Coturnix japonica: one gene and its partner. The protein of the gene in region 2 purifies or fractionates together with the protein of the main gene of each other region. This does not show direct contact. Links are inferred from orthologs where the notes say so. Each region holds a gene or a part of one and is shown on either strand. Other genes may lie near its edges. The genes, in order: ABITRAM and PUS10.

Region 1 (8,598 bases), on a different chromosome or scaffold from region 2:
AAGATACCGATGCTCCTAGATGTCTGTGGGGTGCCATTACTGTACATGACCTTTTTCTGCTGGAGACTTATGTCAAGGAACTTACACCAATGTTTTCTTCAGCTTACCTACTATCTGTTATGGTGCAGCTGGGGATTCTCAGCTCAGTGAGAGATGGTATTTATTTTACTGTAACACACAGAACTTTATTTAAAGAAATATGAGCTGTAGTTAAGTGTAACTTGCTAAGAAAAGACTCCAGTGCTCAAAGTGTATTAATGAAGGTAATCTGTACTACCGTTGTCATAATTAGCTATTGTCTTGTAATTGATGCTTTAGATAAACATAAATTCCAATCCCTTAATACTCTGTTATTAAAATGCACGTTGCTTCTCCAAAGGTAGAGTCCATCCTAAGCTGCCTAGAATTTATTCTATTACTTATTTGTTATACGTCAGCTTTTACGTAGTTGCACTATTACCATGATAACAACGGTGAGGGCTCATTTCTGAGACACATACCTTATCATAGTATCACAGTCTCGTACGGGTTGGAAGGGACCTTAGAGATCATCGAGTCCAACCCCCGGGATTCGAGCCTCTGTGTAGCAGAGAGGCACTTCTACCACTTGCGCCACAGGGGGGATTCGAACTCCGGGCCCCAGTGTTGCAAGGCGGCATCCTTAACCACTGCACCACCGGGGCACACACTTACTCCTTTAATATCATTTTTAGCTCCCTCTCCTGGGATGTGCATCATTCTCTTCTCCTTCACAGCCGCTGCCTTTGTTTAAGAGAAGGGATGATGTACATTATGAACACTGCAGGAAGCTGAACAGGATGGGCAAAACCTTCAGACTAGAAAAGATTGGATTTGCTTGTCCTTCGTATACATTTCAAGCTCAAAATAGGTTTTCATCTCACATTGCCTAACGGTGGCAATCAGTGGCCTGTCTTAATTGCCTTCTATAGGTTGATGCATGCATTCAGAAAACGAGGAACGTGATGACTCTGTTATGTCAACTGCTTCCAGTTTGCAGCAAGTTAATGAGAAAGGTGAGTATCTGGTACTTAAAAGTTGGGTTTTTTTTGTTTGTTGTTGCATATTTTTGCTTGCTTTTTACACTACGTCGTCTTTGTACACAGAATAAAGCAGGGAACGGCTATCTCAAACCTGCCCCCCCATGGAGAGAAGGCAGAACACGAAGCGGTATGAACACACACGCACCAGAAAGAAGAGTGGAGATGTTTGGTATCAAGTCTTTGGAAAATCACGTGGCTAAAATGACATTTTTAGAGAGCAAGTAATTACAGCACTTAGAAATTGCAGAAGCTCCATTAGGGAAAATAACACTTGCTGAAGTTTCTCAGTTTTGCTTTCATTTGTGGAAAGTCAACCCAGGTTAATTTGAATTAAACCTGTTGACCTTTGTCACATCTAATAGATGTCCTGTTACTTAACGATGACAGCACCAACTAGTGTAATCATTATGTATTTTCATAATGTGAATTTCCTACGCTCCCTATTGATACTGGTTTTGTAATTCATGCTTACGAATGTCTTAATGGATGTTTCAACCCAAAGATGCTGCTAACAGACCCTTCACACAAAGAACCCTGTGCTCTATGTAACACTACTGCTGACGTTTGTAAACTCCTCTCTGGCCCATTTCAGTCTATGGATTTATAAAGCCCATTCAGGAATGTAGACTGAAACACTGTGGCCTAAAGCACTGAAATTAAGGTTAGTTATACCTACAATGAAGTTCAGTCCTAAGAAAAAACACTCTTGCGAGAGCTTGGCGCTGAATCTTAGTTTGGTTGGCATTATTCCTATTTCCAAAGTGTACTTCTAAGCGATTAACACTTTTGACTCAAAGCCTTTCTCCTTCACTGTCTCTGTCTGTAGATGGCAGTTGTTGCTTCCTTTATGATTAAACTGTACTGAGCAGGATTTGAATTGCATGTAGAACCACTGAAGTATTACATGTAGACTTTACAGCATTTAACATTGAAGTAAATACTGATTATGAGAAACGTCTGTAAAAAGGGCATTATTTGACTTCAGGGTGCTAGGAAACGTAACCTGATGTGAAATGCTTGCTTTCAAGGTTATCTGTTCATCATAGGCAGGCTCCTATTGCATTTTGTTTTCAATTCACTGCTGTCAAACCCCACGTTGTATTAGTTTGGCTAAATTACCCGACAGCTCAATTGTGCTTTTTCTCTGTGTATTATGTTTGCGTTGAGCCAAGAGCAAAGAGGTCCCTGGAACACAACCACTCTCCAAAATCAATCTGTGCGTATGTAAAAACATGTCGTACTACGACTGAGAGAAAACAGATTTTAATATACAAACTATTTTTCCCCATTTCATACAAGAATAAAACAAATACGTGAAGTTCCACTTTTATAAATGCAGCCCTTTCAATGCAATGAAAGCTGCTGGGTACAAGCAGCTTATTTAGCATCAAACATAGCTGCTGCCTGTATCATTAACTTCCTGAAGAAGAATTCTGACGTTTCGATAAAACCTCCTTGTATTCTTCTGGTGTCAGGAGCCCCTGAGTTACGCTCTTGCTCTCTTCGAATTTGGGTAGAACCACTGCTATGTATCCCTCGGTTGACGGCTACAATGGAGGAACAATGTTAGCACTGAAGTAGTAAAATAAAGGCTAAAAGCTAAAAAGCTTCTCACCTTTTCTTGCAGAAGTGCTGGGTTGCTAAGAATGTTTTCATTCACTTCTATCAGTCGCCCTCGTATGCAACTGCAGAAGTGTTCAAACTCAGTAATAAGTGCACAGTGTGTCAGGGTGGGGGTGTGCAAATCTTTACCTGTAAACGGTGTATTCCCTACCTGTAAATGGTATATTCTTCTCCATCTGATGAAGCGATCCTGCAGAGCGGGGCAAGTTCTGTTAAAAACTGAGCTCCCTGAATGGGGAAAAAAATACATACATGTTCTTAATTACAGTTAATTACGGCTCTTCTTATAGTTTCATAAACATCAGCAACATCACAAGCTGTTACAGAACAAAGCAAGGAGGTGTGATAGCTACAGCTCCAGGTGTGGAGCCCTCAGTACAAAAAACATATGGAGATTTTGGAAAGGGTCCAGAGGAGGGCCACGAAGATGATCAGGGGGCTGGAGCACCTCCCCTATGAGGACAGGCTGAGGGAGTTGGGTTTGTTCAGCCTGGAGAAGAGAATGTTGCGGGGTGACCTCATTGCAGCCTTTCAGTACCTGAAGGGAACTTACACCCAGGAGGGGAGTAAACTCTTCAAAAGGGCTGACAATAGCAGGACACGGGGAAATGGTTTTAAGTTAAAAGAGGGAAGATTTAGGTTGGATGTTAGGGGGAAGTTCTTTACTAGGAGAGTGGTTAGGTCCTGGAACAGGCTGCCCAGGGAGGTTGTGGATGCCCCGTCCTTGGAGGTGTTTAAGACCAGGTTGGACGGGGCTCTGGGCAACCTGATCTAGTAAATGTGTATGTTTGGTGGCCCTGCTGGGCAGGGGGGTTGGAACTACATGATCCTTGAGGTCCCTTCCAACCCAGGTCATTCTGTGATTCTGTGATTCTGTGACTATGGGTTCCACGGTTATACTTACTTACATAGAATCATAGAAATGCTCAGGTTGGAAAAGACCTTCAAGATCATCAAGTCCAACCACAACCCAACCAAAGTACCCTAACAACCCTCTACTAAGTCATGTCCATGAGTACCACATCCAAATGGTTTTAAACTCATCCAGGGATAGTGGCTCAACCACCTCCCTGGGGAGCCTATTCCAGTGCTTAACAACCCTTTCTGTAAAGAAGTGTTTCCTGATATCCAACTTAAACTTACTCTGGTGCAACTTGAGGCCATTTCCCCCCATCCTGTCACAGACCAGGGGTCTGTGATTAGAAAAAAAAGTCTCAAATCCTTAGCATTTGGTTGAAAACAAGTTAAGGGATCTATTAAGGGATGTTTAAGTCCCTCTGCATGCTATACACATTACGTACCCTTTTGGACTTCCCAGAGACCTTATTCTGAAGCCTGCTACAGTTGGGACTGATTTGGTAATTAATACTTGTGATTGTTTTCCCATGCTGAAGAAGAGGGTGGGCTTCTGCCAACGTGATGACACAGATCCTGCAACAACAAGAACGACAGTCACCGTGCCGCAGCGGTGCAGTAGAGTTTTAATACCTACAACCAGGCTTCAGCTGCGGGCATCGCCCCCACCCCCCTCACACCGCCGTTCGATACACAGAGCTGAGGGGGGGGAAGGCGGGGAGCACGATGCCACCAGAGGGCGCCGGGTCCCCGCCCGCCAACTCGCCTGTTGGAGTGCTGCAGCACGCAGAAATCCTCGCACGGCCGCCCCTTCACGTCTGCGAGAGCCCACAAACACGGGTAAGGGTGACTCCCCGGACACGCTCCATCCCGCCCTCCCGGCCGCGCCGCACCTGCCTTGTACCAGCGCGTGAAGTACCGCGCCGCGCCCAACGCCTCGCACGCCGCCATGTTGCCCCTCGCAAGGCGCACGCGCGGCCCCGCCCCGCGCTGCCTACCGGGCTGTGGAGCGGCGCCCTGTGGTAGAGGCACGGCGCCATCGCGCGTAATTAAAAGCTCTTTCCTAAGTGGAAGAAAAAGCTGAGGCTGTGAGGGCCCGTCTGCAGTACTGAGTCCAGGCCCCCAGCACGTCAAAAGAAGGCTGGAGCGGGTTCGGAGGAGGGCGCGATTCTGCTCAGGGAGCTGAAGCAATGGAGGCAGGCTGAGGGAACTGAGCTTGTTCAGGGCAGAGGCTGTGGGGAGACATCATTGCAGCCTTCTGCTACTTAAAGGGAGCTTATAAACAGGAGGGAAATAGACTTTCTACGTGGTGTGATAGTGACAGGAGAAGGGGGAATAGCTGTGAAATAAGGGATATTTGGAGTAGATGGTAGGAGGAAATTCTTTCCCCAGAGGGCAGTGAGGCACCACAGCCCAGAGAAGCTGTGGTGCCCCATCCCTACAGGTGCTCAAGGCCAGGTTGGATGGGGCCCTGGGCAGCTGAGATGGTGGGGGGCAGCCCTGCCCATGGCACGGGGTGGGTCTTTCCAACCCAAACTGCTGTGGGGTTCCAAGTAAACACAAGAAACAGCTCTTTGTTCAGTGGTTTATTCCATCAAGCACACAGCAATACAAGGGCAGCTATAACCATTGTTTAAACGTACCGAAATCACATTTCAAGTAAGAACACATGGCATGAAAACATGGTTTCTATTTGTGGCAACCAGAACAAACTAGTTTTCCACAGAAGTTGTAATTATGCTCGACTCTGAATTCGTGCAGCAGAAGCAGCTACTTGGATTTACACCCTGTAGCCTTGAATGCTTTTTAAACAAATACAGTTCGTTGTGCTCTTGCACAATATCTCCCATCAGTACAGAACAGCCATGCTGCTTGACCCAGGCAGGTCAAGAACTTAGGCAAGGACTGGCATCTGTGCAGTAGAACTCTTGTTGCAAGTAAGGACAGCACATGACTGATGTTATATACACACACAAGCCAAAAGCTTAAGAATAATGTGGCACGATGAAAATCAGAGTCCACCCTTCCTTGCTCTGTTTGCCCTAGGGTCAGCACAAGCACTACATAAGGCGGATACAGCTGCATTCAACACTCAGCTCTGTACTGTAGTTAACAAGGACACAAAAAAAGGTGCTCTCTTTTATCAGCCACAGCAGGCAGGCACATTACCACAAGCTGCTCAGAAACATCAATGCATAAAAATAAAAGGCAGCTTAGAGGCTCTGCTCTATCCTTCTATCAAAGCACGAGAAGTTTCACCGCAAGTACCTTTAAGAAGTAGGACCTTTGCTTCCACTAAAGGCTGACAATGAAAACATGGGCCAGCTTTGTCACCTTGCTGCTACCAACAGCACGTTGTGAAGCATCTTTGGTTTCCTCACGTAGTGCTTTGCCCACCAAAGACAAATGTGCTGGAGCACCCAGCCCACCCAAGTACTCACTGCCAGCTCATCTCACCCTCCTTCCCACACATGCTGCAGGCAGTTTTATTCGTCAGGTTGATCTATTAGTAATGTATTTTGATATGCAGATATTTTCATGTCAGTTTCTCTCATTGCAAGCCAGCCAGCAACTGACAGGAAGCACAGACCAGAAGCTGTAGATTTATTTAGTCACCAATCTAAATATCTCATAGGGGATACAGCCATGTGCCCATTTCCTGTCTCTCATCTATCACACAGATGAGAGAAGTCATCTTCTGACTTCAGCAATTAAGGCCTTAGGCCAACAGAAACCACAAGAATTCAAAGCAAACTGAGTTAGGAGCCACCCATGTCTGAAATAGCTCACAACCAAGGCACTGAGCGCATTCAGTTTCTCTGATGGCTGAGGGTGAGGGACAGAAGGCAAAAGACAACCAATAGAGCCCCCAAACCCTACAGCACCCACCAGGAGATTCCAGTGTTTGTGCATGTAACAGGGCTGTGAGAGGCTCAGAGGGAAGGGGGAGAGAAGACTTGCCAAGCGTTCTGCCTGGGAACACATCTTGCTCATGAGAAGCAATGCAGCAGCCAGAACTGGGGCACATCAGCTCTAACGACTGGTGCCATCACCACAGGAAAGGCGAGACCTGCTTAAACAGGGCACAACCAAAGTCAGGTACATCTGACTGCAATTTGGCAATGCTAAGAAGAGACTTCCAGACAAAGAAGAGTGGCCACGTTCTAAGATCTGAACTGAGTGGGACAACTCGGGTTAGAGGTCAGTAGAGAAGGCACCACCAACTGGTCAAGGCATGGAAGCTTCAGCTTTGACATGAGGGTATGAGGGGATGGGAGTGTTCTTTAGGACTTGTTTTGTTTTTCTGAAGAAGGTGGCTGTGATGTGCACATGCCAGAGACCGAACAGTCTCTACTACAGTACTACGAGTCAAAGATGATGACATTCAAGTACTTGGGGTAGCGAAGAAAAGAGAAAGATCGGCTGTGGGGCTGTAGGCACAGCTTTAACTATGACAGCTTGGAAACAGTCCTAACACAGGTAAGAGCAAAAGTGCCATAAGAATTTAGATTGTTTGAAAGAAACTGAAGTCACTTTCTCTTCAGAGCAAGTTCAAGTGAGCTAACAGTTTATAAGCAGGGAAGAAAGGGAAGCAACAGGTGGGATAATAAATTACTTTTCTAATTCAGTCTTGGGAACATGAGACTAAGACTGCTGTGAGAACCAGCGAGCAGAGGTAGCACAGAATGGCAGATCAAGGAGATGCTACAAAATCATAGCAGATGGCTGTTGTACCACGGTGTGGTTCCTCTGCACCACCAACTGCAGGACTCCCTTCTGGCAACCTCCATCTGCTGTTTGCTCAGAGGTGCGCTTCTGAAGGAAGTACAGAGGGTTAACCAAAAGGCAGGAGTGTAGAATAAAGGGAAAGGGGGAAAAAAAAAGGTAAAGCACTTGATGCAGGGAAAGGATGCACCTGTATTTTGTCAGCTAGAGATGAAATGAGTGCTCTAAAAGACAAGCCTGTTCTCCTCTCCTAACAACTGCTCGTAGGTTCATAACGGGCAGATTTGTTGGCGTTGGATAAGACTGCAGCACACCTCAGTGCTTCCCCTTAGGATGCATTAACCTTCCTCTGCCTCCTGACTTCAAAAGGAAACAAGACAAATCCTGTTCCAAAGACACTGGCCAAATGCTGACTGCAGGAAGATCCAAGAAACAAGCGTTTCCTTTGAGGCTGAGGTCCCCCACACAGATCAGGCAACCCGGAGAATGATAACGAGCTCTGCTCACTCTGCTTTCAAAAAGAAAACGTTGCAAGGGAATCATCGGCACAGTTCTCCCAGCTTCTAGATACGTAACTTCTTGCGGGATAGGAAAAGTGCGCTTGATTTGCTTCTTTTTCTTCTGCTCCCAAATTCAGATGCTGTAAATATTTTACTGAGCACACTAATTTTCCTCCCGTGATTTTCCACTGTTTTGGAGAGTACTTTTAAGAATAGACAGAAATGAAGTTCAAGCCATCTTAATTCAGAGTTAAAAAAAGAAAAGAAAGAATAAGTATTCACTACACAAAAGCCTGAAAAAAATCTATTCTTATTTAAGCCTTTAGTATGAGCTGCAGCACTGGCATCAAAACCTGAACAGATCTATTGCTGATTATTCCGGCTTGCTCCAGAAACATTGATAGAACAGCATTCCATCACTGTGGAAAGGAGTTTGAATAAAAGTCTGGTAAACCTGAGTAAACATACTCACGTACACGTGGGTTATTCTTCATATGCTGCTTCCCTATTGGGTCTTCCAGCTTTAGCTGAAAGGATATAACTGTTCTGCAAGCACAGGTTTATTTTATGTTGTTATGCAGAACTAGAAGGAGTCAGCTTTCCTGGTCATCCCATTTCCCAAACTAAATCAAGGCTGTTGTAGCAAAGGACTGCTAACACTACTCCCCACGATATCAAGAACTGTGATATAACTTCACCATTTCAAACAGCATAAATGTGATAAAACGCTACTTTAAAAGTCTCTTTAACAGTATCCAAGTATACTACAGCTACAGCCACACTGTTATGATGTAATAGCCCTACTGTTACTGCCAATTTGAGGAATCAATGAA
Region 2 (8,741 bases):
AGGAGAACACCAGTGAGCTAGAACCGCAATGCAAGAACACCCTCTACCGAGGTATTATGGTAAAGACCCACAAACAGGTTGCTTCACAGCAGCATCAGATTTTTCTTGCCTCATCTCTTAGTTATCCACATAAGCTAGGAGGAAAAATATATATATATATCTTAAAGATAGGTAAATTATAACTTGCAAGCCAAATATGCATAATGAAAATGAATTAAAAACTTGATAACATAAGAAGTGCAGTTGAGACCCAAGGCAAAAGACTGAGTTCATCATTTACTTTTTCACTCACAAACACTACAAGAAATAGAAGCTCTCTTCTGGAACTAGAAATGGAAAAGACCTGATCTCTGGCACCCTGGAAATAATAGGGCTCTTCTTTTATTTTAATGGTTACACTTCTTTGGTAAACTCTAAGCACAAACTTTTTGACCAACATTGGCAGTTCTATGAGCAAATACTTAACTAGCCTAGAAGTGTTGTTTTTTTGGTTGGGTTTTTTTCAGTTTTGTTTTTGCTGTTTTTAATAAATCTCATTTCTTGGATGACCATAAAATGAAATGAGAGCAGTAAGAGTTTATCCAGACACCAAGCAAAAAGCAATTTGCTCTGGCATTATTTTACCAGTCACAGTGGCAGCTGAAGTGACCAGCACAACTACACTTACTTTTGGATAGGAAGCACATAGTCTGATGTGCAGTCAGAACATACATCAGAACAAATTACTACACTAGCTTTTTCTTGAGATGTAAGAAGTAACAGAACTACTGAACACTAAAAATTGCACAGAATGAGAGCAAACCTCATCACAGATCTATTTGCAAATCCAAGAGGATCTATACTACTTTCTGCCACAGTCACTCAAGTTTATTCTACTAGGTCTTAGAAAAGGAGGCACACAACCTGAAGACTTACAAGTTGCTTTTAACAACAGAATTTTTTAATCACTTCATTGTAGAAAACAGGGTAACATTGTAAAACATCACACAATAGTCACTTTACTGATAAAGTTATAATATACCTAATATTCTCCCTCAGTCTTAAAAAAAAGACTATCAGGGATACATGTGTCTATGCTATCACTGCCTTATGTAATTTAATGGCTAAAATTTAAACAATTTAAGTTTTAAACTTAAGTTAACAATTCTTAACAATTTAAGACAAGAATTGCTATCAAAGTAGTAGTTTTACGACTACAACAAATATAAAAATACAGACTATCAACAATGCTCAAGACAGGTGACTACCAAAATATATATTTTTACAGCATCCAAAATGCTACGAAGTTAAAGAGCTTATCTTCAAACTTCTTCATTTCTACTCTGAACTACCAATTATCATTTATTTCAGGAATGGTACCAGCTGTGCTGTTCCTTCTCTGAAAAGATCCTCTTTTACTTTTTCAGATGTAAAATAACTCCGAGGCTAAATGAAAACTGAAGTGACTCAGACACCTTATTAATTATAACAGTACTTAGCAAAAAGGAAAGGGAGAGCAGACTACACTTGTAGCAAGTTTTGAGGTTTTTTTGTTTGTTTGTTTTGAATAATAGCAATTAAAAATCAGACTGTCTCTAGTCTGTACCTTCCACAGTTACCTTCCTTAATAAACGTTCAATTTATGAAGGAATATCTGCAAAAACTTACCTCCCTAACAGACAGCTGTGGTGGTAGTGACAGAGAAAATACAAAACTGGTGAACTGGTAGTCAGAAGAATTAACCTTTTCACACATCTGGAAAATAAGAGTATTAATATTGAACTACAACAATGGAACCAAGTTGATAATTTTTTAGGATATTCTTTATTCTATCATAATCACTGTAAATCTATATTAGTACACATTCAGACAAATGCCAAACATACGTTCTTGACTAACTCCTAACAACTTATTGAAATACAAGCCTGTAAAAAGTTCTTACTAATGACCTCTATTCTTATTTGGTGTGTGACATTATGAAATAAGAAAGCTCGTTCTTTTAAGGCTAAAATCATATACACAAATGTTGATGCAGGAAATTACACCACAGAGACCACATGCTGGAAGAGCTGACTCAGAATATTTTTCTTCATGGCACAGACACAATTCTATGACAATAAAAACTTTTTAAGTTCCTGTCATAATACAGGAACAAAAAGCTATTCACAGTAATAATTCAAAGACAATGGGACATTTCATCTTTCAGTTTATGATAGAATTTTCTCAGGATAAGTATACAGCTATTACAAATAAGCAGGGACATCATCTAAACGTCTACTTTACTTTGATATAAGAATCATGTTAGTCACTGGAATGATAGCAAGAACCCAAACATGCATCAAATGTCTTAAAGTAAACTAGTGAAAGCTGATGGCTAGATGTCTCTACTAGAAGGAACAAAGACTAATTTTGAGCTTTCAGGATGAAATCCACATCTTTGATAAGGAAATTTCCTTGTAAGAGAATCAGATGTTGTGGTGCCTTAATAAATGTGCCTGTGCACAAGAGCAAGTTGTAAGATTTTCCACTGTCACAAAAGAGTGTAACTCTGAAACAAGTCTTAAAAGTAGGTTCAATGAAAAGTATATGTACTCTCTCAACGGAGACAAAAAAGAAAGAAGCATCCAATAGTTCAACAGAATCTATGTAGTATGCTCTCTTAGCCCTAGTTATTAATGTTGTTAAACCAAATTTGTTTCTATTAAAGCTCTGTCAAACATCTCAAATGCAATTGGAATTTTTAGCTAATATTTTGGTTTGTCACATAAGCAACTGTATTGCTCAGAGATGACATCTGCAACACGCATTATGTTCATACTCTCTCTTAACTCCTTTTTTCTTCATTATCTGCAATGCTGTACCACCAAATACATTTTTCCTTTGTGGGTTTCTAAATAGTGCTATATAGTAAAGAAACACTCCTGTGTTAGAAACAGACAGTTAAACTAAACAGCACAGCATTTGATGACTCCTCATATTGCCCTTACACAGCTAAAAGAGGAGAGAGATTGGTTTATAGTGAAGTTTCATTAACCTGATTACAAAAATACATTCCTGTTATTCCACTGCACCTATACCTTTCTTTCAAAGTTACATTATAACAAACCTTGGACAAAACATGGTCACGCATTTTATTTCCCAGCTGCAAAACAGGTACGCAAATACTGTGTCAGTGAGCTGTATGTAGCTGAATGGCACCATCTACAACTCAAATATTCAACACAAGAAAATGTTTCGGTTTGATTTGCTCTCTCTGTCAATTGTTTAACTGTACAGTGTTTCTAAATCACCAGATCTATACTGCAGGCCCTAACATACAAAAGCTCCTAAAAAATATACTTGTAGATTAAGATTATTTACCTTTTTAACAAAGTCAGCCTCGCAGAACTCCTGAAGAATTCCCAAACAGACATTGCAAACTTCTGCAGCTGAGTTCTCCGCAGCTGAGTTCTGCACAGCAGCATTATCATCATTAACCAAAGAAATCTGACTGAGCGCTCCATTCTGGTTCAGATCTTCAGGCCCTCCTTCTGCATGTCCAAGTCTGAATCGCTTACAAGGTGGATCAGCTACATCAAAGCAAGTTGTATCTTCTTTTTCTTGATTACCGTTCAGGAATTGTTTCAAATCCTTCATCAAATCCTAACACAAACAGTGGGATTTTACTTTGTTGACTTTTCCTCTCGAATTCAGTGCTGTAAAAAGCACTTACAAACACAGGTTTAAAAAGCAGAAGAAACCACCTGTAGCTTTAGTCTTTGTGTATGTAATTAGCAACTTGTAAAGATACCAAAAAGACACTCGCACAATAAAAAACAAAAGCTCCAATCTGTACTTCTGTCAAAACGTTACCACCCCAACAAAACTTTTTTTGCTTAACAGACTTCTTTACTTTCCAAGAACACTGGAAACATTTTAAAGACCAACTTGCAGAAATGCATTTATCTTCAGCCTTGTCACTGTTCAAGGAAAATATGTGTCTACTGCCTTTTTGCCATTTCTTACCTAAGAATTTAATCCTCCAACACTGACAGCCCACACAACGAAGACAGCTGGCTACCACAGTATGAGAAGAAAATTAGAGCAGATAAATGCAATAGTGAAATTAAACACACGACAAAGTACGTCTCATTCATTCATGTAATGAGAAGCTTATGAATATTAATGAATGTGCTGGTGAGGAGAGAGAATTAACCATATATCTGAAATTTAGGAAGGATGAAAGGTAGAGGTAACACTTGGGTCAGAAAAAAAAATAAGGATTTATTAAGACATCTTCAATAACAGCATTTACTGTCGCAACTCAGATGAAAATTGGATAGAGCTGCAAAAGCATGATAAATGGCACACAGAACAAACACTTCTCAACAGATTGATTAAAAATGAAACAGGATTAGGAAGAAAGACGTGAAAGAAGAATTCTGGAGAGTCTAAACTTGAGTGAAAGTGAAATAATCAAGGCAAACACCGTAACACACAAGCATAAAGACATCATTAGGGCAGATACACGGAAATAATAGGCCTACATAATGAGAACTCTATGAATCAACGTGGTGAAGGAGCAAGTAGCCAAAAACAATTTGAGAAGCACATAATACAAAGACACAGGAAGGCTGACGGTGCACAACTGGGAAAACAATTCAGAATGCTGAATTTCAGCGGGAAGGTCAGCTAAATAGGGTGCCTAATAACACTGCTGGAATGACAGCGGAGCATCAACTGCGCCATTCTTCAGCTACATCCCTCAGCCAATGCTGCTGGAAGACGGAAGGAATTTGAGGCAAGAAGAGAAAGCCCCCAATCAGCTGCCGTGACCCACAGCCCCTTTGTGACTTACTGTGTTAAAGGAAAAACGAAGGAGGGAACTGTCGGGGATACACTGCTTGAGTGATAGAGCTGTGCAGAAGTTGCTCTGTCCTGTTTACAGAGTTTTCCTGGGAATACACAGCAACTTAACGAACCTAACACCAAACTGACGGGAATTCTTATACCACAGCACTACTGTAATTTCTCACACTTGCACAGAGCTTTCCCAACAGGCAATGTCCAAGAATACAAACAACATCCTTCTCCTCCAAGTAGTGTACAGCACGATACTGCATTCATACGGCCACATGTTCTAATCAGAAATACAAAGAACAAACCTTGTATGGATGCCTATAAAGCGTCTGTGATCCCACACGGCAGAACCTGAAAATACATCGTGGGCATGTGCCAGCACCCAGTAACAGCTGAACAATCGGCCTGTCCTTTTCTGTTAGAGAAGACATGCTGGACAACACTAATAATCACAGTACTAAATATAGGCCGCACTGAGCACAGGAGCATCAAACCCAGCGCGGCGCGGGGCGGAGCGCGTCGATAGAGCGCAGGGCGGAGCACGTAGCGCGGTGCCCGGAAGGCCGCCGGCTCGATCGCTCGGCGCTGCGGCGTCCCGCCTGCCGGGGGCGGGCGGAGGAGCGCGGCGGGCCGGAGCGGGCCGGGGCTCGAACGGGGCTGCAGCGAGGCGGGGATGGCTTCGCAGCCGCCGCCTCCCAAGCCCTGGGAGAACCGGCGGTTAGTGGGCAGCGTGGCGCCCGCCTTCCAGTGAGTGTGTGCCCCTCGCACGGGCCTCTCCGCGCACCGCGGGGTCGGCCCTGCGGGCGGCCGGGCTCAAAGGTCGGGCCTAGCCCGTCGGCGCGGCGCCTTGGCCGGGCCTGGGAGCTGAGGGGCGGGTTGTGCGCGGGTTCACTCCGCTTCTTGGGGAGGTGTATAGAAGAGTGGGGGGAACCTCCTGTGGATCTTCGTCAGCGGGTTCTGTGGGCTCAGAGCCAGTCTACGGAAAGTCGAGGGTTTAACGAGGTGGAGGTTGACGTGTTAGCAGGGCTGGGTGTGTTGCCACAAGTGGAAAAAACGCTGTCGTTCGTACGTGAGGGTTGCAGAGCCACGGAGTATGTGCTCCCCGTGGGAGTGGGGCTGTGTGTGGTTGATCCTGGCAGTGGAAAAGATGAATGTGTATTTGTTGACCTGAGGCTCTGCTCCTGCAGAAGACAGAGTGTACTTCACTGGGAAGGATGCTGTGCAGAAAGAGTTGTCAAATGAATTTTAATCAGAAGCCAAGGAAAGATGATGGCTGAAGATGAGTCTTGTTTTCCACTTGGTGCTGTTGATTGCAATTAGGGTGAGCTGAAACTGGGCAAAAGGTTACCTCCAAACTGAACTTTCAGGAAGAACTATGCTTTCACTGCAGGCTGAAGCTTGCTGAGCAGGAGGTTTGATGTTAAGTTTTCTTGGTGAGGTTATCTAGTTCATTTTAATTTACTCCAGGTATCTAAAAATTGAGTTGTCCTAATCTGGTTTGTGGGAGGGTGCCCCCAACTTCTGTGGTAGTACCTTATTTTTACTTCTGCTTTTAACTGTGACAGTCTAGGCTGGAAGAAACAAACAGTGTAAAGATGTAAATATTATACTTCGCTTTAGGTAAACCTGTAAGTTTTGCTGTGGGGAAAGTTGTTCCCTATCGCATGTGTAAGTGGTACAGCAGATTGCTTCAGTATGGAAAACAGCAGAAGATGGACAGCTACTTGATAGAATTCAGATGCCAAGTACTTGCACAGACCTATTACAAAGGATGTAGGTAAACCGGCTGAAACTTACAGGCATGCCAAGAGCTAGAAATTTATTATTATTTTTTTTAAAAAAGTAAATGAGCTCATAGTAGCTCTTTCTGCCAGCTGTTAACAGTCTTAGATTCAGTCCCAGTTCAGTAGGGGGAAGCAGGGAGCCCTAGGCTGTTGTGTGTGCTGTTATCATTTGAATTTTGTTAGGTCCCACCAGTCGGTTCTCCAAGGGTGACTTCAGAGGAGCTGTCTAGCTTCCTTCTTGCTGTACCATTGGCTCATTATCTAGAAGAAACAAGAACAAATGTTGGAATTAAAGCTTTCAAATTGCAAAATATTCTTGGTAGTGTGTATGAGATGCCCTTTTGCACAGGCGAATGACTTAGGAGTTGAATCAGCATCAGATTGGATGGGTCTAGCCTTAGCATTTTGTGCTTTTGGTCTGTACAAGAAAAACAGCTCTTATATGTTTCAGATATGCTGCAATTCTACATTTGCATTGAACATTTCTTTTTTTTTTTAATGAAAGATTTGTATTTCTTGACAGAAATTTTTAATTCTCACTAACACTGTGCGACAGTATGAATGTTTGGTAACCAGATTCCACAACCTGGCACTAGCAAAGCGCAGGGTCATATTGATAGCTATTGAATAATGCTGGAGAAAATGAAAACATAACCACATTTTGAGTACTGATCTTGGTTGTCTGAATCTGTTTAGGTCTCCTGACTTGGGTGACAACTTGCTGACCAGACCTGGACAACCCACAGTTGCACGAATACCTCCACCTATTTTGCCGAGACCATCACAGCAAACAGGAAGCAGTAGTCTCAGTACTTTAAGGCCAGCATATAGCAGTTCTTTTACTACAGGCTATGGTTCATATGGAACTTCTTTTTATGGAAGCTACAGCCCTTACAGTTATGGATATGGTGGCTTGGGCTATAACCGCTTTCGTACAGATGATATTCCTCCCAGCAGGTTTGTTCAACAGGCTGAAGAGAGCAGCAGAGGTGCATTTCAGTCCATTGAAAGTATTGTGCATGCGTTTGCCTCAGTCAGCATGATGATGGATGCTACCTTTTCAGCTGTGTACAACAGTTTCAGAGCTGTGTTGGATGTAGCCAATCACTTCTCCCGCCTCAAAGTACACTTCACAAAGGTGTTTTCAGCATTTGCTTTAGTGAGAACTATAAGATATCTCTACCAGCGTCTACAACGATTACTGGGTCTGCGGAAGAGCTCTGAGAATGAGGATCTGTGGGCTGAAAGTCAGGGGACAGTAGCTCGTGTTGGTCTTGAAGACAAGGCAGCTAACTCGGCAAAATCCTGGCCTATTTTTTTGTTCTTTGCTGTTATTATGGGAGGTCCCTATCTGATTTGGAAACTCCTTTCTACATACAGTGATGAAGAATCAGGTAAAGATGATCTGCAGCATGAGAGAATCATGAAAAGTATAGAGTATATTGTTCATTTAGTTATCACGTGTATAGAGATTAAACCTAGACTTGGGTAATGGAAGTGTGTAGATTCTGGGGTACAACACTGAATTTTAAGCATGTGGTACAAGTATAAATAGCTTAGTGTTGATCTGAGATTCAGTTTCATGGTACACTTTATATGACTCCAAATTTGTGATTCCTTTCTATTAAATGTGGCAGGTGGAGAAGAAGGAAAAGCTATTGGTTGACTCACCAAATGTTGTCTTTGTTAGTCCCATCAGTTCTCTGTTAGAGAAGCAAAGAAATTAAGGTGTCTTCTCTTTGGTTTAAAAACCAAAAACAGACAAACCAAAAATCTCATCTATTAAATTCAAAGCAAGTAAATTCTTAATTTCTTTTCGGAAACAGTTTCTAGTAACTGGGCAAGTGGAGAAGATGATCATGTAGTTGGAAGAGCAGAATATGACTTCAGTGCGCTCTCAGAAGAGGAAATTTCCTTCCGTGCTGGTGACATTCTAAGATTAGCACCCAAAGGTAAGCTTTCAATTTTCAGTTTGTTTTCTAATCATATGTGAAATAAGTTGTGTAGTTTGATTCTGAAATTGTGTGTTTTTCGGGGGGGGGGAAGGGGGAAAAGGAGCAGGGGGAAAAAGTAAGAATGCAAAAACAAAACACATTTTGACCCAAGTTTTCATACCTACTGATTTATATTTTTTTCACT

What was found.
Region 1: the proteins of PUS10 (region 2) and ABITRAM purify together in Homo sapiens (affinity purification with mass spectrometry; 3 studies listed by BioGRID and IntAct, counting the BioPlex papers as one, with this or other methods). This does not show direct contact. The link is inferred for Coturnix japonica from reciprocal best matches to the Homo sapiens genes PUS10 and ABITRAM.

The regions. Positions count from the first base shown.
Region 1 is NC_029517.1:79,739,982-79,748,579, forward strand, and holds ABITRAM (protein Abitram), read right to left. Parts: upstream 4,521-8,598; 5' UTR 4,491-4,520; coding exon 4,433-4,490; intron 4,358-4,432; coding exon 4,306-4,357; intron 4,116-4,305; coding exon 3,986-4,115; intron 2,913-3,985; coding exon 2,836-2,912; intron 2,747-2,835; coding exon 2,677-2,746; intron 2,609-2,676; coding exon 2,474-2,608; 3' UTR 2,309-2,473; downstream 1-2,308. Other genes in the region: CTNNAL1 (alpha-catulin), read left to right, coding at 951-1,034, 1,125-1,286. UniProt on the Homo sapiens protein: Actin-binding protein that regulates actin polymerization, filopodia dynamics and increases the branching of proximal dendrites of developing neurons.
Region 2 is NC_029518.1:5,442,630-5,451,370, reverse strand, and holds the start of PUS10 (putative tRNA pseudouridine synthase Pus10), read right to left. Parts: upstream 5,339-8,741; 5' UTR 5,250-5,338; coding exon 5,124-5,249; intron 3,622-5,123; coding exon 3,340-3,621; intron 1,735-3,339; coding exon 1,648-1,734; intron 1-1,647. Other genes in the region: PEX13 (peroxisome biogenesis factor 13), read left to right, coding at 5,492-5,565, 7,299-7,996, 8,429-8,554. UniProt on the Homo sapiens protein: Protein with different functions depending on its subcellular location: involved in miRNA processing in the nucleus and acts as a tRNA pseudouridylate synthase in the cytoplasm.